Linked DNA regions of Drosophila melanogaster. The protein of the gene in region 2 purifies or fractionates together with the protein of the main gene of each other region. This does not show direct contact. Each region holds a gene or a part of one and is shown on either strand. Other genes may lie near its edges. The genes, in order: dgrn and E(spl)m5-HLH.

Region 1 (12,788 bases), about 20 Mb from region 2:
TTCTGATCGAAGAAACGAATTTACATGGTACATATTAGGGTAGTTTTTGCCAATTTCCTAGCAATATGATAAAATAAAAAATTTTTAAAAATTCGCGCCCTGGCTATTATAATTTTAAAGCTTTTTTAAATTTCTTTGTTAAAATCGCCGCTCGAATTAGCTACCGTTTACACATTTGTATTTATGTTTAATTCTAATTTGTCTCTCATCTGACAATTTTTTAAAACCGAAATATTTTTTTTGAAACACTTTTAATGTTAATGTTACATCATATTAAGTCAAATGATTTAATAAATATACTAAATAATTAAATATGCAATTAAATTAAATTGCAAAAGTAATATCAAAGACAATAGAATTATTCTAGTGTCTTTGCTTTGTTCATATCTTGAGGCACGAAGTGCGGACACAAGCACTCAACAATCATTGCCTTATTAATTTTTCACACGCCGCAAGATGAATACTCTAATGACAAATATTCTTATATAAATTCATTTTTGAAATTTATTTTTGTGATAATATGTACATAGATTTGACTATTTCTAATCTATTTTCAAATAATAATAACGTTAAGGCAATGCAAAACAAGAATTTTTCGCATGGTGCCAATTGATAAAAAATAATATAGATTTAAAGCCAAAGAACTTCTAAGGTGAAGGGCATATTTTGTCAAATTTACAATGCATGTGAATACGTGTGCACACATACAGATGTCTGCTATCACTTTGTGCGTTGAAAAGAGCTGTTCGCTGTAGCGCTCTTCGCTCTCTCGCTCTCTAACAAAAATTCGAGAGAGCCTGGAGCCACCTCTAGAGCCACGGCCAAAAAATCGTGTGCCAAAAAATCGTATGGCGTTACGCATCTTGTTATTCTAGGGTCTTTGGCTGTACCACGTTTACAACTTAGGCAAATCACTAAATAATATAAATATAGGAGCTGTGCTTACAAGGTATGGTCATGTGCTAAGCTTAATCTAGCTATACCTAGACAACAGAAGCGACAACCTTAAGCTATTTTGGGAACGGGTTTTGTCCATTTGTGGAGTCTTAGAAGAGTCGCTTTTGGACGATGTAAAAGACACAGGCGAGGAACAAGGAGAAGGCGAAGAAGAGCAGCATTTTGTCAGTGCACTCGCGTCGTCCGTACTTTTTGAGCAGCTTGCCGGACATGCTAATGCTGCCGGCCGTGTGGTGCAGTTCGTCGCTGGTGGCCTCCACATTTTGCGACGAGGCCACGAGCGTTTCCAGGGTGATGGCGCTCTTCTGGGTGGTCTCCGAGAGGTGCCGCGATATAGCCAGCATCTTCTCGGTCACGTCGTTCTCCTGCGAAACCAGACTGCCCTGGTTGTGCCGCGCCCGTGTTGTGGTTCGTTGGCGTAGCTCACTCTCGCCGGTAATGGCCATTAACTCCTCCCGATTGGCCTTCTCGATCTCCAGCATCGTGGACACGTTTGCTTTTCGGAACGCCTGCAGCGTTTTGGAGAACTGATCACGGTGGTCGTCCACTTCATTGGCCAGCGCAGAGTCTGCCGTGTCCCGCGCCCAGTCGTCCAGCCGCTCGATGCTTTTGCGGATAGCAGACAGTTTGGAGCGGCCCGCTTCGTTCAGCTCCTCGAGTTCGGCGATGGAGGTGCGGCTGTTCAGGATGTCCTAAAAACAGAAGCTCGGTAATGAGGGTTTCTCTTCAGATAGCGGAGACTTACGTGTATTATTGCCTTAGCCTGCAGATTGTTATCGATAAGGTCCTGCCGTATGGCCTGTAATGTAAACGCATCCTTGTCCATGTCTCCAACTTTGTTTTGTTTCGAAAATATTCTATTATTCTGCTTTGGTGACGTGCATTTAACGTTAATTCCCGCAATTTTCTAACACTACCACGGCACGGTATATATCGATGGCATTTAATCGCCTAAAAAATATCGTTTACATAGTGATGGTATGGTTTTGTAATGTCGACATATTTATATACATTTCTTATAATTATTTTGTTATCAAAGAATTTCGCCGAAACGGAAATTTTATTTTTAATAAATTATTGATTTTTATTGAATTACAAGTGTCATTCTAAACAGCATTGTATAATACCGCAAAAATCGATAGTCGATCTTAAATCCTTGTTCCCGAATGTCCGTAAAGTGTCATCTTTAAAATAACCGAATGGTCGCGTGAAAGGAGGAAACTATTTTGCACATTTCAATCTGCACTAAAGCACATGTATATCTGGGTTCACCTGCTTTTGTCTTTACTACGAAATCATTTCACAAGTTTCCTGGTCATTTGTTGCTCGAACAATGTCAGATTCGACTATTTTCCGTTTTGTAAGTATACCCTGGACTTTAAACTAGTTAATTCCGATTTATGATTGATTTATTTAGTAGAACTCATCCATTCTTGATCAGTCAGCGGACAGCAACGTATCCAGTTCGAGCTCCAATTCCAGTGTATCCGACTCTTCTGTGGACTCCCATTCATCCATAGAATCCAATTCGGGACACAATACATCCGTGGAATCTCAGTCATCCGCGGAATCTGATTCATCCGCTGATTCCCATTCGTCCTTGGAACGCCCATCCCCAGTGGAGCGTGATTTATCTGTGGAATCAGACTCATCTTCAGCCACCAATACCAGCGAATCTTCAGTCGGAGAAGCTTCAAACCAACTGCAGTCACCGCAAAGCAATAACCCCTTAAATATGGCTAACTTGTCTGTCTCGACTGAAGATGCTCATTCGCAGATCAGATCACTTACCCAGGATGTGATCCAGATGGAAGCAGAGTTGGATCGCAGTATGTCACTCCATAATCATTACGAAGTTTTCTGTTAATTGTTTCATATTTCAGTGAATCGCTACTGCGAGGAAGTTGTGGCACAGATTGACACCTTCGCCACGAGAACCTCAACGCCAACAACTCGTAGAATTCGCCGCAGAAGTAAGTGCAGATCAAAATGAACGCATCTGGGTTTCACAATGAACAATGTTTTTAATTCCACAATAACCAATGACATAGTTCTTTCTATAACCCTGCCGGGTTACTTACTTTTGAAGGCAAAATTTATCTATATTTTTTAAAATTTTGTGAAAACCAGATAGCTTTCGCGGATAGAGCTAGCAATAAACCGAATACCGTTTCTTACTTTTTCCGTAGCGAGTCCAGTAGAAGTGATAGATCTGTCCCATTTGGACCGTGCACCACCTGTTCGATCCGCTCGGAATCGTGATCCCGATGCTTTCATCGATCTATGCACCCCCGAAGGCCCAAGAAGTCGCACAGTGAATCTTCACTCCAACGACTCCCTCACCATTCTGCCACGTCGGTCAGCCGAAAATGACCCGGTAGTGGATCTCGACGTTGCGTCGCCACCAAAACGCGTTAATCGCGACATTGATGAGTCCCAAAAAGAGGAGTTATACAAGTGCCCCATCTGCATGGACAGTGTATCGAAGCGCGAGCCAGTGTCAACCAAATGTGGACACGTCTTCTGCCGCGAATGCATCGAAACAGCCATCAGAGCTACGCACAAGTGCCCAATATGCAACAAGAAGCTGACCGCACGTCAATTCTTTCGCATTTACTTGTAAGTTGCTTATACTATTTCACATTTTTTGCTCTGTGAGCCTTAATATAATATAGTTTAAAAAAAAACGCTTAACTATGTTAGAGACGGCAAATAATGTCTGTTCTTGTGATTCAGAAAAAATTAGTTATTTAAGTTGTCCTATGTAATCAGTGGCGCCCAAAAATATTTGAATACAACTATAAAAACTAAAGACTTCACTTTTGATGTATGAAACCATCTCAGGCTAGAATAATATAAGAACGACCGAAAGGAGTGTCAAAGTATTATGTAGGCATTTTTCCAAACGCAATTTAACAATGTAACATACATATAATATAATAAATAAAATGGTCCCAACGCATATCAACAGGTTTGTCTCAATCTCATTTTTTATTGTTGGCTACTATTTTTTGAGACAGAAGTCAGACATGGAATTCTGAGATCATTAAAGGGTCGATAAAACAGGATAAATTGGAAACAGGTGGAACATGAAGTGTCTTTAAAGAGACTTTTTCCCTCCAATTTTGTATATATATAACAATATATTTTTTTTTTTTTAAACTTCATTCTATTTATTTTGGTTCCAAAAGGAATCGTTCGGTCAATTCCTCTGAACTTAACCTTATGTGTGTATAAAGGTATATTAGACCAAGTGGTTTCTTAATTATTAAGTACAAAAGGGAAAATGTATCTAGTTATTAATTACTTATTGTGTAAGGGTGTAGGGAGATCGGTGGGGTGTACCCTCTTCAGCCTTCGGAGGGAGATGGGATTAGATAGGCTATTTGCTAGTCGGTTCGGGTGGACCATAAGCCTGTCGGCATAACGGCTGCTGTGAAAATTAATCTGATCCCCAAGAGGGGTAACTTTCAGATCTCTTTCGATTACCTTGTTTGTCACGTACCAGGGGAGCCCAAAAGCACGACGTGCAGCTCTCGACTAGACGACACGGAGCCTATTGAGCTGGGATTTGGCGGCAGTTCCCCACACCTGGATGGCATAACTCCACGTTGGAGCAAGTATGGCTTTGATTAAAAGAGCCTTAGAGCTCACTTGTAGTTTGCTGGAGTGGAAGAGCCAGTCGAGCTTTTTTAGCTTCGCCAGTGACTAAAATTTGACCGACGTGATGTGGGCCCTCCAGGTCAGTCTCCGATCTAGATGAACTCCTAGGTAGTGCGATGTGACATTGATGATGGAGTTTCCATCAAAAAGTTCCGGGCCACAGGGTAAAAGTTCGCAGGCTGACTTCGAGGAGTTAATGGCCACATTCCATTTGGCAGTCCATTTTTCGACTACATACAGCCATTCCTGGACTGCGTTGGAGGCAGTTTACAGTACAGGATGAGACGCCAGCATGGCGGTGTCATCGTGGCCAGGAGCAGCTGATCCGGGGAGACTTCGGTGTTGTTGGCGGGAGATGGCAGGTCGGCAGTGTACAGGGTGTACAGGAAGGGCCCAAGAACACTTCCCTGTGGAACTCCTGCGTGAATCTCTTCCAGGCTGGACCGAGCATCACGCACTGCAAGGTCGAAGGTCCGATGAGAGATGAACGATCTCAGGATGGCATAGTAGGGAGCAGGAAGGAGAGCTTTCATCTTGTATAGAAGTCCTTCATGCCACACCCTGTCAAACGCTTGCTTCACGTCTAGAAAGACGCCGACCGTGTAGAGTTTGTGCTCGAAGCCATGCGTCACCTGGTTTAACAGTCGATGTATTTGTTCAGGGCAGCCGTGGAACTTCCTGAAGCCAAATTGGTGTCGAGGTATGTGGTTCACTACTTGCGGCAGTTCCATCAGGCGGGCTAAGAGTATTCTCTCAAAAATCGTGGAGAAAGTTTATAGCAAGCTGACTTGGCGATATGCATCGATCTTCGTTGGCGGCTTTCCGGCTTTAGGTATCATTATGATACGTGCACGCTTCCATTACCTTGGAAAGTGCCCTAGCCTTAGGATGACATTAAATATTTTTACTAAGGCTAGAGCTCCTTTGCGTGGCAGAGACTTCGCAGCACGGTTGTCGATGCCATCCTAACCAGGGGTTTTCTCGATTTCTTGATTTGTAGCGCCTTCAGCTGCATCATGACTTCCGGCGGTGGGGTATGCCTAATGGGGCGAGCCGGTGCAGTCGGAGTGTCCAGAAAATTATTGATGGCTACGCGGTTTGAGTCGTCTGTTAGGTTGAAGGGCATGAAGGTGGAGGTCAGGTGCGAAGCAAATGTCCTCGCTTATTCATCGTCCGTCTTAAGCCAGAGGCCACTGTGACTCTGGACGGGAGATTGAAACAACGGCTGTCTCTTGATACCTCTTGTGAGCCTCCATAATGAAAAATTGCTGTTGTTATCTGGGCCAGTACCCTCCAGCAGGGTATCCAGATTTTCTCGTCGTGTCCTGGCTAGCAAACGCTGCAGTTTGTTAGTGGTGCTAGAGTATAGCTGCTTAATGCTAGGATCTCCTGTTGCGATGTACCGTCTCCTGAGGCGCCTTTTGTGGGAGAGCAGCTCCCTCCTTGCGGTCGTGTGACGAGCTTGATGTGGGGGAGGTGTGGCCCTCTGTGCTGCTTCCGCGATTGTGGCTGCGAGGTAATGTACGTACGCTTCCAGACTATTGCAGGTGTCTATGGGGATTGAGATCTACTGTGGCCTCAATGCTCCTTGAAGGCCACAGTATTTGCAGTAGGTGACAACATTTTTGTGACACCTTTGAATACCTGGGCGTCTTCATCCAGCTCAAACAGCAGGGGGAGATGGTCAGATGACAGTAGTTGCACGTTAATTTCTTGCTGTCTGAATCCTTTGGAGATCCCGAAATCGATGGCACTTGGAGTGGCACTTGCTCGAAAGGGATAGCAAGTAGCTTCTCCAGTTGCAGCGATGTCGATACCTTCGCCCGCCAGAGCAGAGAACAGCACCCTGCCTCTCGTGCGCATCCTGTAGTTTCCCCACCATCTGTGCTCTGCGTTCCAGTCACCTGCCGCAAGGAACTTTGTGCCAAATTGAGCGATGATCAGCTCGACGTCAGCCTCCGTCCACCTGAGATTAGGAGGGCAGTACACCGAGGCAATGTTAAAAGTACCCCTGCTTGCCGTCAGCTGGATAACTGCTGTCTGGATGTGATTTTCCGACAGGGTGGAGAAGGGTTGGTGGGAGACGAGGGATCTGATAAGGATCGCTGCACCTCCGCGTTTGCTGTCATCCGGGTGGTTGGCAGTGTGGTGGGTAAAGACAGGAACTCTGAAGGTGGACCGGGAAACGAAATGGGTTTCCGACAGCAGGAGGACGTCGATTTCGTAAAGCTCGATGAAGGCGAGAATCTCATTGGTCTTCGAGGAGGCCCCATTGGCATTCCAAGCTGCTACCTTAAGAGGACCCATTTTGAGCAGCAGAATGGAAGGTGCGAGTTTGCAGGAGCAGTTGCATTAGCGTTTCAACTAGTGACATCATCCTTGTCAAGCCTAGAAAACAGCTGCTCGAGCTTAGACTCAAGGTAAGCGCTTGCATGGGGGACAATAACGGCAGGCGACGGGCTGACTTCGTCTCACAATATTTGCAAATGAAGGCTTTCCAGACATGTGGGCTGGTGGACAGGGTTGGTGTGGTCCTCTTGCAGGACCAGAAACAGAGGGTTCATTGACCTTCCGTTGGTGTTTGCGGTTAGAAGCCTCTAGCATGTACTTTTTGCAACCTTTAAAGTTGGCTGCATGGGGGAATTTTTTAGAGTAAAATGTTTTTATGATCTAAGAATCTTGTCGAATAATGGCTTGTTTTTCATATGGCGGTCAAGTTTAATGAAATAATTTAAAATCCTTTAAGTATGCTATGGAAAATCTTGTCTTAGCTATTTAAAATCAATCTACACATTTTTTATGTTTTTTTCATTGCTCGTATTTGTTTCTCTTTTGTTAAGATTACTATCGATTTGGTAAAAATAAACTAAATTTAATGATGAGTGAAGAAGTAATTGCTAAGAACATTTCCTTGTCAAGTCTTACCTACCCAAAGCGTATACCAAAGATTAAGTTCGGTCCTATCAAGGACGAAATGGGTTTCACGCTCAGCGAAAGATTGGCCCTCAGACAGGCGTGGAACTTGGTCAGACCCTTTGAGCGGCGCTACGGTCAGGACGTATTCTATAGGTGGGTTTTCTTTTGACAAGATCATGCCTGAAAAAATTACTTGACAGCTTCCTAAATGATTACTATTGGGGTATTAAGAAGTTCCGGAACGGAGCTGAGCTCAACGTGAAAGCCCTGCACTCGCATGCCCTGCGATTTATTAACTTTTTTGGACTTCTAATCGAGGAGAAGGATCCAGTAGTGTTCCAGCTGATGATAAACGACAACAACCATACCCACAATCGCTGCCATGTGGGCTCCGTTAATATTGGGGTAAGTGTGATTCAATATACAATTCCTTACTCAAACTTTAACAAAATCCTGGACAAATTGTGTGACAAGAATATGCGGCCATCAATGCGTCACTTCATTTTATTTAAAAACAGGAAGCTGCTACTCACACATTTTGTTTTTCCAATTCAACTGTAGAAAAGGAAAAAATATATTGTATATGTTGTTTATGAGACATTCACTTTAAATTTTAAAATTAAGATTGTAATCACACAATTCGACAATTCGTTTTGATTGTTTTTAAGAATGATTATCACCTTTTAAACTTATATTATTATTCCAAAGGTTTGCCTCTCCCTTTGCAGGGGTAAAAACTCAATAGAATATATATGGTATTTCAGAAACTGAATAAACATCTAAATAATAATAAGTAACAATGTTACTCATTGCCTACTATTAATCATTTTATAATCTATAGGATTCAATATTGTGGATGATACATAGCATGTTATTTTATAATATACACCCATATTTTAGCGATTATCATGTTAAATAAGTACAAACTTTTCCCAAATTTTCCCTTTCCCCATGTAACCAACAGCATCTGGCCCAGGCCCTGGTGGACTATGTGCTAAAGGTGTTCCATAAGGTCAGCTCTCCATCGCTGGAACAGGGTTTGAGCAAACTCGTGGAGAAGTTTCAGAACTACCAGGACCAGCAGTCGAATACCTCCGGATACAATCGCCTGAGCAAGGTTAACTTTGATTCACGACCGCCCAGAGGTAACCCATAGGAAACCCAAAGGAAACCTAACGAAACCCAGTGGCAACCAATAGGAAATTCATAAGAAACCCAAAGGAAACCCATAGGAAACCCAAAGGAAACCCAAAGGAAACCCAGTGGAAGCCCAGGCCATGAATCGTATTTGGAATTATATCGGGCTGCGTCATTCTGCCGCTGTCTCTGCCGCTGCTACTGCCTCTGCCACCGCGATATCAGGCTTCTAGTATCAGCCTCTGTCGCTGTCGCCGACGCAGTGGGCGCTCATTTCGCTTAGCTGCTAAGCGATTTCCTTGGAGAAATTCAGTTCAGCTCGGACGCTCGTCGCGCCATCCACACGTTTCGATAGTTAAGCCTTTCAGGGAACTGGAGCGATCGAAAAATTGGCAGTAGCAAAATAAACACTAATAAAACGAACATATAACCTCGCATTTGCGGGTTAATCGGCTAATCGTCTAAATAGTGCTGTTTTGGAAGTTATTGAAACATGGTGGCTACCGAGGAACTTAAAACGGTAATTGAACTAACCAATTTTGAATTGCTCTAGCACTAGATCTGGGTTTTAAGTGTAAGACGCAAGGGCAAAGATGAACGATAAAAAAATGTATTACGCATACGACATGCTGACCAGTAAATTTGGTAATATTGGAGCGAACATAGCTATTAATAAACGAGAAGCGGCACATGGCTAAGATTAGAAATTCATTATAAATGAATTGCTTTTCTTCAGTTTTAAGTATCCGATTGTCAAGTAAAGGCCTTTTCAAGGGCACATAAGCACAATTTGTTTCCAAATTAAATACAATTTTAAGAACTGGACATATTTGTTCAGATGAATAGAAAAAAAAAAACACTTTCTTAATTATTAAACTTAGTACATAGAATTCTATTAATTACCATGAGCCTCTTGAGCTTTGTTCTTAGGCACTTAGTACTCCTCAATTACCATACTAAAAATGTGGGCTACCTTTTTAATTAGCCACTTAAATTTGCATTTGTTGTCGCAATCTATAATAATTTATTACCTACTAATTGCGAAACGATTTCGAAGTGGGCAGCAAAAATATCTAATCGAACTAAGGCTCCTCGCGAAGAAGTGTACGCCAAGTTGAAGATTTATAAAGCCTGCCCCCTGAACAGTTTTGTTTACGGTTGCGCCTGCTAGGTAACCAAGATCTCCAGCTCTTATCGGTAGCCATAAACCAATGATTAGAGAGGGCTTAGAGCCCCAGGATCAAGAGTTTTGTACTTGGGGGGTGGTACACCACCCTATCTTGCCCTTGGCACTGGGACAGACTGCGCCGATCGAACGGTGGCCACTCGAGAAGACCGCTCAAGTGGCTCTTACCAGGCGATTGGGCATTGGGAAGACGTACACCCGTAACTGAGCACGGGGCCAATAGGCTGCTATCGGGGAGCCGGGAAGATCGTCAAGATTTCGGAAGGAGTAGCAGCTGCGATAGGCGTGCGGTTCACGCAGCCACTAACTGCTTTCGATAATGGCCAATTAGCTGTCCACCTTTGGACGTGACGCTGTGCTCTTTGGCTTCAGATTCCCAAAAGTTCGGGCTCTAGCCTGCCGCCGTCAAGTAGTGATTCACTTTTTGGCTGATAAGACCAGGCGTGTTTTGGGTTTTTGGCCACTGCCACAAAGTGCCAGCGTGTTTTATCAAATCGGCTAGTAAAACACACAGCAATCATTGCAGCAATATAATATAATGATCATAATTCCAGTCGCGTGCCAATCAATTGTTGTTGTTTATGCTCTCTGACATATTTACTCAGCGTTTATCTGGCCTGCACTGAACTGTCGGGCAATCTGCGGGATACAAATAATAATATTTACATATCAATAAGTTGTAGCGTTTCATGGCCAGTCGCATCCGGTGAAATGTTTCGTTAAACGTTTGGATTCGATGTAAATTCGCCGCCCAGTTCATCTCTTCGAAGTGTCTCGTTTTGCTTTCCTACTTCCTTATAATAAGGTGAAAATCAGGATCTATTCTAAAGAAGGAATCCGATCTTGCACAAATGTTTATATATAAATAAAATATTCATTGTAGCTCCTTATGAATAATGTTTTGCACATATAGCAAACCAAACCACCATTTTAATAAAACTATTTAGGACTATACTGTGCAACTTCCTCTATCGAAGCATAGCAAACTTTGCGGGGTATGGAATAAATTCGCTTAGTATTAAAGCCCTTAAAGTATTTAATTTGGACTTGCTATCCCATCGAGACCCACTAAACCCACCATAGGAGTCTATAATCCGTGAGAAAGAAGCTTTGCCATTTTCACCCATCTATATTTGAATACCAGGGCACACCTTGCAACAGAAGCGACTTCCATGGGTAAACAATATCGCTTTAATTACCGCATGGGCAAATGACTTGAGCGAATTAAGGGAATTGCGTCAATAAAAGATATTGTCTAACGACTGAGTGAGCTGCAATGGCGCGGGCCACGATAAAGACAAGTAAAATGTGGGCTTGTGGGCGGAAGCATAGAGCGTAAGGCCATCATCCATTGGTATGGATGGGGGCAGGTGCTTGGGAACGGGCCTCCCAAGTGCATCGGCACATGGCACAAGGTACTCGCTGAACTTGACGTCGGAAAGTGGGAGAAAACAGCAAAAGGCGAGTGCAGAAACAGAGTAAACAGAGCACAGCAAGCGAGGCAAGCTTATTAGCATGTGTTGTGCGTACACTGTGCGAAATTTCACGTCTAAATTGGATAGTGTATTGCGCAGATTTAATAGCAGATTTCTCGACCGCTTTTAGGTGGTTTATTATCGTTGGTTTATTCTTAAATATTTTTGATTTTTGATCTTAAACCAGTTCCATTTTGCAATATATTTACAAGGCTTTTTTCTCACTGTTTGGTGGGTGTGTCAGTCGTATCGTTCTGACCCCCTCTCGCTGTCTCCGTCGCACTCTGGGACCTCTCGCTCGCACCGCCGTCGAGTGATCGACTTGTTTGGGTGCGAATGCGGCGACAGGTTTCTTTTGGCATGCACTTGACGCCATTAAGATGCACCTATGTACATACGTGTTTCACTTTATAATTAGAAATTCCGCCTTAATAACATTTTAAGCGGGCGCCTGCCTAGCCATCAAGGAATCAACTGTGAAAGGGGCAATCTCACGTGGTTGTCATCTAATCGATGACCAGCTTCTGTCTACGGCCCGAGAATAGACGACGAATTTGGTTCCCGATGCACTTGGAAAGTGCACCTCAAACGCACCGAAATGCATTTAGCAAATTAATTTTAACTGTCGGAAGCATTCGTTTGCTTGGGCTTTGCTCGACTTGGTTGCGGTGGCGTATGCGTAATATTTGCGTGGATTCACATAAGAAGTCATTTGATAGCCAATTAATATGACAATGTCATTCGGTAGCCGGTGGGTAATCGATTACTGGGATAGTTTTACGAATACTTCCAACAGGTTGTTTGTTTATTTGTTAGCATCCTATTTCAAGAATAAATCCATTTGCCTCTGACGTAAAACAAAAGATTCGAATGCATCTGATTCGCGTAATCTGTTGGCAGTTCAACGAAATGCCGACAAAAGTCTCAGATAAAATAAAAGTTCTATGCACAATAGAAGAATCTTCGCCAAGCATCGAGATGAAAATACGTTTTTTCGAAGAGACCTCCGGTTTAGTCTTTTCGAGGTGTTTGCACGAGACAATCCACTGCCCCAGAGGCAGCCATTAAAATTAGCGGAAAAATCAAAACAATAATACACAATACATAATAACAATACATATACAAAGAAACGCACTGCTAAGATAATTAATGAGACTCGATAGAAATAAGTGAAATACATAATCCGATATATACAAACCATAAAACAGCGTTTTTTACACCACAAAGAGTCGTCAAATTTGGCGCAGTGCGTTTCGTCTGCGATCGTCTTATATAAGGCGTTGCTAAAGAACCCGGAAATCGGCCGAATCTCGAATGGATTCGGAAAAAGTGGTCCGTGCAATGGCTCGTTGGTGGCAGGTAAATATCGCAGCATTGCATTTTAGAGTTTGTCGGACAAATGTAACAATATATATATATATTTTTGTGTGTTTTTAAATGAAAAAGTGCTTTAA
Region 2 (11,555 bases):
AAGCCAAACGGCTAACGGAAGTCATGGCCAGAAGACAAACAAACAGAGCGATTCTGCAGCATCATGGGAAATGCTTAGCCAGGCAAAAAGCACGGCCACAAAAAATAACTCCGAGGCGTCCAACCACAAGTGTCATATTGCTGCGATGGTGATAAAGTCGGCCCAACAGCAGCTGTGAAAAAAGGGGCATAAAAAACAGGCAACATTTTATACACTCAGTGCTGACCAGTAGCCCTGAGATCAGCGAATTAAAAGAAATATGTGGAGGACGGGCGAAAAACGAATCTTAGAACGACAACCGGATGTTAAAGTTTATTACGAAAGGCGACAAATGCCGAAGGGTTGGTAATCGGACTATGCAAAAAGAGTTTTATTTCTTTCATTTTGGAACCCCCAATGCGCCGAGATAGCGAAACTGTTACACTTAATCGATACGCTTCAACGAAAAGTCAACCCACAGCCCCAGCCATAGTGGTGGTTGTGCACTGTGAGAAATATTTGAAAACTTAAAAAAAAAAACTGATTACATTTGAATTCGGTTATAAGTAAAATATCAAAATATATATATTTTCCATTCTTCCGAAATGGGGTGATCTATATTTATTGGTAATTAACATAGTTGCTGTTATTGAAATTGTTTCAAATCTACTTTAAACTCCCAAAAAGACCGCACATTTTGTCCACGTGCAGTTGTCGCAGTCATCATCATCAGCCAAGCATGCGACATAATTGCGCGAGTTAAGGCTGCCCCTCCACCCAGCCATCCCTCACCAGTTCGCCCACTGCCCCCCATTGGCGGCTGACAGTCAACCCGCTTGAAATCAACCAGCAGCAACAGCAACAACATTTCAGCAATCCATCGGATCGCATCACAATCCAGCCATCCGTCCAACGTGTGGGAAACACACGACAAATCTGTTTCCCACGGTCTCGTAAAGTAGGCACACCGCACACACACACAAACACCCATCCCCATCCACTGAGCCATGGGACCCACAATCACATAGGCTACTGCCTCGTAGGCTCCCTCGTGTCTCATTCTCATTGTTGGTGTGAGCGGTACGGAGCAGCGGACTTCGACAGCGAATGGGAGCCGAGCACTGTCATCATTGACAATAAGTATGACATGGATGAGGGGGGATGGAGGGCGGGGTGGAGCGGCCTGAGAGACACGCGCAGTCGCCGAGAATGAGATCCAATCCGAAAGCCGACTGTCGACTGCCGACTGCTCAGTTTCCCTCTGGCCATGCAATCAATTGAAGACGACGCGCGCCAGAGCACCAAAGCTGCAGATACAGATACATTTGTATCTGCGGCGGGGCACGCTCTCGCTCGCTCCCATTGCATGCACCTTGGTTCGAAGTCGACTAGTTTCGGTTAATAATACTAATTTTGGACTAATAGTATTACTTTCAATAAGCAGATTTTACGAAAATAATTGCAGTTTTATTAACTTTGTAAGTGATTAATATTTTTTGAAATTGCTTTCTTTCAGGTCTTAAAATTTAGCAAATTTTTAAATCGTCCTTTTGGTTGAACAATTATGTTGCATACTTTTGAGAGTCATATAAAAAATAGTTGTAGCAAAATATAAAGAACACAAATTTAACACTATTGGAAATGAAAAATATTGATATTATATTCGCATTGCTAAAATGGATTATTTCTTATTTTTTATAATAAGCATAATTAAGAAGGTAAAGAGTTCCATGGTGATGGTCCCACTGTACCCCCTGCAGACGGTACAACCCCCATCATCGATGGCCTACAGTAGCCTCTCTTTGTGCCGCTGCCGAGCGCCGCTACCGATCCGCGACCGAAAAGAACCGAAGTGGAACTCGATCTTGGGCCCGAGTGCCTGGGAGCGTGTGTGAGTGATCATGCGGGAGCTTTGTGGCCGGGAGAGCCTGATCCCCGTTTGCCGGGAGAGCGTGGCTGTCATATAAAAGTAGGGCTGGGAACTAGTTTGCCACTCATTTCGTAAAAGTGCCGCCACTCGAACGCACCGCAATCGGTGGAACGCGCAACGCACGCGCAACAAACTCGTCAAAAAGTAACCAATCTATGAAACCAACCAAAATCAGTAGTGATAATGTGCAGTTGAGAGACTAAATACAAAAGAACAATCCTTAAAATACACAACATAAAACAACCCAATCGATCATGGTCATGGAGATGTCCAAGACGTATCAGTACCGCAAGGTGATGAAGCCGCTGCTGGAGCGCAAACGGCGAGCCAGGATCAACAAGTGTCTGGACGATCTCAAGGATCTGATGGTGGAGTGCCTGCAGCAGGAGGGCGAGCACGTCACCCGGCTGGAGAAGGCGGATATCCTGGAGTTGACCGTGGATCACATGAGGAAACTCAAGCAGCGGGGTGGTCTTTCGCTGCAGGGAGTAGTGGCTGGTGTTGGCAGCCCACCCACCTCAACCAGTACCGCCCACGTGGAGTCCTTTCGCTCCGGCTATGTGCATGCTGCCGATCAGATTACCCAGGTCCTGCTGCAGACACAGCAAACCGATGAGATTGGGCGCAAGATAATGAAATTCCTATCGACGCGACTAATTGAGCTGCAGACGCAGTTGCTCCAGCAGCAGCAGCAACAGCAACAACACCAGCAGCAGCAAATACCGCAATCATCAGGCCGCCTAGCCTTCCCGCTGCTGGGAGGATATGGACCGGCAGCCGCCGCTGCCGCCATTAGTTACAGCTCCTTCCTGACCAGCAAGGACGAACTGATCGATGTGACATCCGTCGATGGCAATGCGTTATCCGAGACGGCGTCGGTTAGCTCGCAGGAGTCCGGCGCCTCTGAGCCCGTCTGGAGGCCCTGGTAATTGGGCGTGCCCAATATGGATCTTATCCCTAATATTATAATCGCAACCCAAAAAAATGGCTATTGACCGTTCTGCAACAAGATCCGTTGTCTTCCAAAGTAAATCATATCAACCTAAGTTAATTGAGGTCTAATCGATTTCTGAATGGTTTTGAAATACTTTTAGTTTTAGTTCCGATAATGGTAATTTGTAAATTAATTGTTTAATTTCAACTGTGATATAACTAAAGTACGTTGATCAATCAATCAGTGAATATATATTCGAGTGCGCTATTTTCCTACTCCAAAAGTTCCCTAAGTTTAATATCTCGTTGCGCTCTCTTTATTGTTTAGCATATATTAAGCTTTAAATAATTTATAAATGTTAATTTATGATTAGTTGAGAAAGAATAATCAAAAATACACTACCCAAATAAAATAAATGATTTAAATTGAAAACACAATGTTTTTCTTTTGCGGGATTTCAAAATTTTATAAAATATTTATTTTGTTATATTAATAAATATAAACAAACTGAACGATATTATGCAAACCTAACGGAATACTGTTCATTCTTGTCCCAGTCCGCCAATGTTGTTTACTGCCCCAATAAATTACCTTTAATTGAACATCACCTCAAATGTATGCAACACATTTTCGACTCGACCCTGATTCATTCCCATAAGCAGATCATCTAATTGGAGCCTGTTCTTACCACCAATCTGATCGGCAATCAACAGATCCTCTCTACCTGCCCGATAACTGGTTGGCATTGTGGTCCAAATCAACAGGCCAAACAACAACCGTCAATATGCACTACCTGCTGGCAGGTAAATTGATCAACAATAAGACCAAAAAAGGTTCAGGATCGAATCGGATTAGGGTCCGCTCGTTTTTCAAATGAGTCATGCCAATTAAGAAAGGACTTCGCTCCCCATTTATTTTCTGTGTTGATTTGTAAACGGAAAATTGTTGGAACAATAAGGGGGAAACAAAGAATTTAGATTCCTATTCAATTATTTTTTTTTTGGGTGAAATGTAACACAATTTTTGGTAAAGATTACCAATTTCCAAATGTGTGATTTAAGAGAAGGCCCATTTCATACGATTTATCAATGATTAAAAGTAAAAAAAACAGTGGTTGATTTCATTTAAATTGTATATATATTTTGATTTTTTTGTGTTTGTTAAGTAAAATGTATCACAATTTTTGTAAAGCTCTTCAGTTGAGTTGATCGGCTTGCGTGTTAATTTTTGTGGAATGGTTTCAAAAATTAACGGAAGACGTTGATTAAAGCTGGAGATCCAATGGAAGACATAGTTGCCGGATGATGGATGCAGGTTGCAGGACGCTGATATTTTTTAGGCCTGAACCCAACGATCCTGGGGGATAGCGATGGCGTTGGAGGTGCTGCAGTAGAGGGGCTCGACGAGGTCGTTGTCGGCTGGCAAATCGGAGACGGCGGTCCAGAAGAATGTGCCGTGAGCGGTGCGGACGAAGTGAACGGGAACGGTGGGCAGTTGCTCGAAGTCGTAGTCCTCAATTTCGCAGGACTGGGAGAGACGCTCGTTGGCCTCGTTCTCGCAGGACTCCAGAGAGGCGCAGATGGAGGCGGATTCCAGATCGGCGTTGCGGCTGTTTTCCATGGATTCCAGAGACTCCAAAGAGTTGGCCTTGAGGGCGTTCTTGAGGTTCTGCTCCTCCTCGACGCGCTGTTGCTGCTTGAAGATCTTCTGCAGCAGTTTCTTCACGCTGTAGGACAGCTTCTTGTTCGATTTGATGGTCATGGTGTTGTTGGTGTTGATCTTGTTCTGGCACATGATGATGTGTTTTGGAATTTTGTGTTTAGCTGCTGTGTAGCTGAGATGTGTACTGTACGAAGCGTTGAGCTCGAATGATGCCTGATCCTCCGAGCCAGGGTCCTTTTATACTCGCCAGGACGTGGAGAAACCCGAAGCCGAGCAGGTCACAAAACACCGAGTGTGGGAAACTACAAGGATACGTGTCCCGAAAAATCCTATACACAGTGCGGATACATGGCGAGGCAACAACAAAAACGGCAGGTGTGTTTTTCGAAAAGGGACTGCATCGGCATTAACCTGCGTGCGTCGGAGTGTGACGGCATGTAGTGTCGCTCCGCTCGCACCTGTTGAAGGTGCGGGCAATTTTATCCTGCTGCAGGATCGTGAGAAACGAGACTTTCTACCAGTTCCCACAGTTTCGGTTCGAAAGGATCCTTTTTGACAAGGAGATTCGTTTTTTTCCCTTTTTCTGCCGATCACTTTTGGTTTTTATGTGCACTTATCTCATTATGTAGGCAGTGCGAGCGGGACGGACAATGATGGAGCCGGGGGGCGGGGGAAATCCGTTTTCCATTTCTCGAACACGTGTGCAGCTCGAGAACGTGGGAGAATATTTTCAATTTTCAACGCTCGAACGGAGGCGAACAATTAATGCCCGAAACCAGAAGATAAAATAGCTCAATAGGCAAACAATCCGTAGAATTTGATGGAGTAGGGGGCACACAGATCCCAGACGAGGGACCAGGAATCCTTAACTGCGAGCATTTAATGCGCTGTAATTTGAAATTTATCAAATTGTATGTGGAGGCGAGGCGTTGCCCGAAGGAGCGAGATGGCAAAGGAGCTGGAGGACAAGGATCGTCGACGAAGGAGTTGCTTTTAATTTCTGTTGCTGATGGCACACAATTAGCAGGGGACCGATTCGTATTATGATGGGTAAAAAATATGTAAGAGGGAAGGAGGAGCAGGACCACGAGTACATCGTTGGAGGAGCACACGCACAGCGAGCGCCTGATCTTTTTTGTGTGGCTCCTTCTTCTTTTTTTATTTGTGGATCGTTGATGGCGCGTGAGGCGCTGAAGCCAAGGTTTCCCAGGATTTCTTTCGGCTTTTTGTGTCTCGGCTCCCTCTGGATATCTTTGGCGTACTTAATGGATTGTCCTCTGACTTAACCATAAATATTTGGAACCCGGTGTGAGTTGGGACAAATTAAGCAGGACTCCTCGGTGAGAAGTTGTAGGCTGGCGTTAACAGATCGTCCTGGATCTCAGATCTATTGAACTGCTGTGGAGGTGATGATGATTATATGGTTGGCTTTGTTGGCTGGATGGTTGTTATAATGGATCGATGAGCGGGTCAAAGGATGGGATAATTGGTTTTATTGGTGGATACTATTGGATCCTTTACTTCGAAGAAAATTAGAGCACCAATGTAAGATAATTTGTAGTAATATAATTGTTATAATTTTGGGGATATCTGAAATTATGTTAATATTTTAAGTTAGAAAATGTGTTTTATGTTAATTGAATCCTCCTCCTTTGGGTAAAAACCAAAAAATTAACATAAATATGATATTATTTATTATTCATTTCAACAACATAGAATGGGTTCATAAAATGTAAGTCTCAATTCCAAGTTTGTACAGCTTCATTTTGTCCTCTAAAAAGACAATATGCTGGCAGAGAACTGGACCAATTTTCGGGATTAAGAGCTAAAGCCATTTCAATAAAGTCCCTCCTCTTTTTGTAGCTACAAAGTATCTTTTTAATATTGAGGCAGAATATTTCTATAAAATCCCCTGTGTTTTATCACAACAAGAGTTGCCTTCAATCTTTTGAATATCCTTTGCTGTATCAACAGTCCCAAATTATTGAATTACTTCCAGGAAACTGACCTTTATGGCCCTGGACGATTCTCCCAGTTCCTCGTATCGTTTTTGGTTGACTCATGCTACCGCATTATTCGGCCTTATTATGCACGGATTGTGTCGATCTAATTGTGTTTTGGTCCTTTAGTTTTTCGGTTGACTCATTGCCCCCAGTTTTCCTTCTGATGGTTTTTTTTTTGTGTTAGTTTTTTTTTTTATTCTGCACTTTATTGTGTGCCCACGTGCAGGGGCAAAACAAATAAAAATAGTTAACCATTTGGATGGGAAACCAAAGCCCCGCTGGGGGTCTTAAATTTTGGCTGCCCCTGCAGTGGTTTTTTTCTGGGTTTTCGGTGACTACTGTGGTGCCTTCTTTTTCTCCATCACTTTTCTATCTTCCAGGGAAATCTTTGGCCGAACACGTGCACTGATTTCTTATCTCAGCTCGATCATTTAAGGTTCCAAAACTGTGGATTAGCCCGACGCACACAAAAGCGGAGAAAGAGGAAAAAAAAAATAAAATAAAAATAAAATCAACCTGACCCTGGCTGTCCATTGTCTCCCTACCAAGTGTTCAAAGGGGGGTGGGAATGATGGTGTTTGTACACGTGACGACCTCGTTTCGCTCACAGCAGGGTGTTACGATCGAAACTGCGGCCCCGTCACGTCCCTCGAACCACCTATCCATCCACCTAACTATCCATCCAAAACCCATGTACATATCTACCATAACTACAGATAGTGCGGCAACGTGATCAACTTGCGAACGTGAAAATTTCACACATGTGCGTTTGATTGTCGACGGGAAAAGCCCACCGATCATTGAGGCCTTCCCTCCTCCTACGGTTTCCGCAGGTCCAGTTACACCGGACAGGACCTTCCACACCCACGCCGACCGGAGGATGTGCTAACTGCCCGAATCTGTTACGGTATTTCCGTTTACATTTTCCGTGGTCAGCAGCGTGAACATCAAACGAGGCGTGCGAAAAATTCCGTAGAACGAAAGATGATCTCTGCACTTGAGTTGAACAGACGGGCTAGTTGAGCTATAGGGATTTAGTCGGAGCCATGTGCACAACCGTAAGCATAACAATAACAAGGAATCGATAGATAGGTTCTAAGAAACTGAGATAATACGAATACTTGATGACCTCGAAAAAATTTAGCTTGAAATCCAACTATATATTATCAATATATAGTTATATTTGGTCGCACTTTTAATTATTCCTCTGATAGATTCTTGCCTTATAAATTAAAAACGATTACACTACTTTATTGCTGTAATTTAAAGTATGTGTTTCCATATTATATTGTTTCATTTTCAACAAAGAAGATATACCCAAGTCTTCATTAGAATTCTATCTGTGACCCGTACTTAAATTTAAATATGAGCTGGTGGACCTACGTGGCGGTTTCTTTGGTTTTGTAATGATAAAATAACATAGACAGTAATCAGTGTGGTGATGCACCACACATGTGGGGTCCTTTGGATCATCGAGTTACACAAAGACATTGCACTTGACACGAGGCAGCGAGACATGTCTTCTTATTTTTGGATTTTATTTTTTAGTTTACAAATTAGTATGTGCGTTGGTGTGTCGCATATGCGGGAGGCGAGTTCCAGGAATGCCGTGGCCATTGTCATTGTTGGTTTAGGATATCATCGATCCAAGCCTCAAGGAGTCCCGTTCCTCGATCCCCGCCCATCACTCAGCACGCACGTGCAGGGCACAAAAGCGGTCGTAATTGACGGTTTAACTCGATGGGCCCGGAACCTCCCCTGGCTGACAAACACGAGAGAAAAAAGTCCCAAAACGATATGTGAGCCCTGTCCAGGGGCTCGAGGGGTATGCAGATTCGACAACACTTTGCAACACGTGCAACACCACAGTGTTAAGCTGTTGATCGAGGCGTAGACAGGTCTGTGTCTTTTTTTGTCTCCGGTCCTCGGGGGCGTCGCTTGGCTAGGGGTTTGACTGGGTTTATGGCCAGAGGACCTCCTACTTGGACCCGGGGGAGTTCAACTCTTCGTCGAGGAGGTCGCAGCTGGGTTGTCAAGCACGGATCTTGTTTAGATCGATCATCAGGCGGGGGAGGTACTGCTTAATGTGTGTCTTTTACACAAAAACTGTGGAATTATTCTAATGAATTGCTCAACAAGGGTAATTATTTTTCAAAGAAGCAGAACAATATTCTTGACAATCTTATATCTACACAGAGAGGGATTACTTTCACTTGACATTGTCTCTTCAGAATTACAATTACTTGAATGTTCTGCAAAGTTTATTTTACTAATCTAAAATCTAAGCAAAATCTACAACACTCGTCTTGATCATCCATGATCATGATGATATTTTTGGATTTGATTCAATATTTTCTCCTTGTTTAAGATTTGTAACAAATAAATCATATTAGATTAATGAGATATCTGCAAGCCGAAAATCACAAAGCCAATTAGAATTTTGGCCTATGATTTTTGTTAATTTAAGTAAATAAATAGACCAAAGTATTAAGGTTTTTGTGTGTTTTGTATTTTATAACTATTAAAGCTGTTGTGTTGTTCTCTTAAAATAAATTCCTTAATAAACTAATAAAGCTTGAGGTGTGCTTATGATCTAGGTAAAGCTGTTATCACATTGTTAACGATTCAATTGGAAGACATGATTCGTTGCAGCAGAAGTTGCTGGTGGAAGACAGGATTCAATGTCGATGCTGAAGAAGATTCTTCAGCTGGAAGACTGGATTCGATGTCGATGATGATGGTGATGGTGATTTACCAAGGGCGCCACATGGTTTCTTCGACTGGCTTGGGGCTGGCGGCGGATTGAGAGTCCTCGTTATCGCTGTGGTATCCCGAGGAGGCGGGGCTGAGTGGGCGTGGGGTGGAGGTTGTAACAGAAGTCTGGACCTGATCGGCCTGCAGCATGCGCTGGAACTCGACGCCCAGATGGGTCATCACTGTCTTGCCCACATCCACACTCATGGCTGGAGTGCAGGCCATCACACGGGAGATCTCGCTGACGGCGTTCATGTAGCCATTCTTGAAGCTATCCATGGGAAGTGGGGAGACCGGCGCCTGCTGCTTGACGACCTGTTTGCGCATGAAGACGAGTGCCGCCTCCAGCATCTCGGCCTTGTCCATTCGCAGGATGGCATCATCGCCCTGGAACTCGGCCACCAAGGTCTTCAAGGTGTCCAAACACTTGTTCATGCGGGCCCGACGCTGGCGCTCCAAAAGGGGCTTCTTCACCTTCAAATAGTGCTGGGTCTTGGAGACGAATGTGGTGCTGTTGTTGCTCTGTGGTGCCATTTTGTAATGTGTTTTTTGTTTTGGAAGATTTGTAGAAATGTGCTGAGCTGATCTGAACTGCTTGCAGGATGCTGCTCGAATGATGCTGGATTCCTCGACTGCACCGGCTTTTATACCCGCAGCAGCCGCAGCAGCAGCAGTGTGGAGAAGGTCCTTGCTGGAGGACCTGCTACCTGCGAACACCGTAAAGATCTCGAAATCTTATTGCTATGCTGTGCGTGCGTGGGAAAGGAAACCAAGGAAATCGTTGTGCAAAGACTGAGTTTTCAGGCTGCTTTTCTTGGCTCCCTTTGTGTGTTTTATTCCTTTCAATTGTCTAGCCAAGGAGTGTGGGTCCTGGCGACGCATTGTAACTGCAATTAAACCGTAAAATGCTGGCCAAGACGTGGGAACGTGGTGCTCAGAATTGGGCCCAATTGTCTGCGACAAACTGATTCGGTTTGGGCCAGCAAATGAAAATCAAACTCGGTAAAATTGTAATTGTCTTGTTGTGGCTTACTGATCTTTGGATCGCTGAAAGGAAAGAAGGAGGATCGTTTAGATCCTTTAGCCAGTTTCAAAACTAAATATGGGATGTTAGAGGTTGATGTAATCATGGATAGCAAACACTTATACCTCAATAAGGAATCAAATAGGTGGATACAAAGTACATAAAATTTTAGGGATTCGTCATCTGCTCATGCAAGTAATTATAAAATCCAATTCATTACAAACAAGCACTTAGATATATGTCCTAGTCATGGTTTTTTAGGGTCCCTTCACCATCATCGCTGCCCCATAAATCCTGACCCAATGCTCGCCCGATCCCCATGCACACTTTACTGACAACCCTTAACGCTAACCCCAATCCCCATCCCAGATCCAATTCGAATCCCGAGAAAGTGGCTGTCACCGTTGTTAGGGTCTTGAGGGGTCTTTCCGTTTGTTTTGCTCGATTTTCATATCGTGAGAACCGCTCGAGACGCGTCGTGTGTTTCCCACGCGATGTGCACACCTGCCATTTAAGACGCTTATATGGTTACGATTACAGGCACGGATACACGGAAAGCCAGCGAGACACAGATACTCCACACAGACAACCACTTGGCCGTAAATATACAGAAGCAACAACCAGATGAGGGCACACATTTATCTGTCGGCACACATTTATTGCGCCGGCGCGACGCTTATTATCAGCCCAAGTAGCAATCGTCGTGTGAGTGACTGATGCACTGACGGATTGACTAAACTGCTCGACTGAATGACTGAATGACTGCCGGACGGACTGACTGACTGACTGACTGGCGAACTGAGAAACCGACTGATTACTGCCTGCTTTACTTTAGTTTTTCACTCTTGTCGCCGTCATTGACGATTGTTTAATTTAAATTGCCGGCTACCAGTCGGCGGGCTTAATGATTATGGCCGGGCCCAGAGCCAGAGCCAGAGTTGCCATCCAAGTTCCGTGGAACTTGTACGCAATAGTTATTTGTACTTTACGACATGGGCTAATTGAACGAACGCACCCGCAGAAGAAGTTTAACGAGCCGTCTGTCATTGATTGAAGTGGTGAATGGGAGTTGCGGGGACGTGGGGATTTGGCCTGTCAATGGGCAATCAAATCATTAACGTATCCAAGGTGAGTGAGAATCCCCAGTAGCAGTGACCAGCTAACTGACAGCCACTGGATGGATTTCAATGATCCCATCGCCTGACTTACGTCGTCCGTTCGTGGACCAATCCTTTGAGGGATTTATGTATGCCGGACCACCAGTTTGTT

What was found.
Region 1: the proteins of E(spl)m5-HLH (region 2) and dgrn purify together in Drosophila melanogaster (affinity purification with western blotting, with the first as the bait; one study listed by BioGRID). This does not show direct contact.

The regions. Positions count from the first base shown.
Region 1 is NT_033777.3:5,822,659-5,835,446, forward strand, and holds dgrn (degringolade), read left to right. Parts: upstream 1-1,956; 5' UTR 1,957-2,290; coding exon 2,291-2,317; intron 2,318-2,374; exon of another isoform or gene 2,375-2,377; coding exon 2,378-2,786; intron 2,787-2,840; coding exon 2,841-2,930; intron 2,931-3,146; coding exon 3,147-3,580; 3' UTR 3,581-3,918; downstream 3,919-12,788. Other genes in the region: Sec20 (secretory 20), read right to left, coding at 1,047-1,649, 1,703-1,783; glob3 (globin 3), read left to right, coding at 7,496-7,689, 7,737-7,941, 8,501-8,692; CG1208 (uncharacterized protein), read left to right, coding at 12,649-12,693.
Region 2 is NT_033777.3:26,019,857-26,031,411, forward strand, and holds E(spl)m5-HLH (enhancer of split m5, helix-loop-helix), read right to left. Parts: upstream 9,880-11,555; 5' UTR 9,797-9,879; coding exon 9,260-9,796; 3' UTR 8,998-9,259; downstream 1-8,997. Other genes in the region: E(spl)m3-HLH (enhancer of split m3, helix-loop-helix), read left to right, coding at 2,164-2,838; E(spl)m4-BFM (enhancer of split m4, bearded family member), read right to left, coding at 4,179-4,637. UniProt on the Drosophila melanogaster protein: Participates in the control of cell fate choice by uncommitted neuroectodermal cells in the embryo. Transcriptional repressor. Binds DNA on N-box motifs: 5'-CACNAG-3'.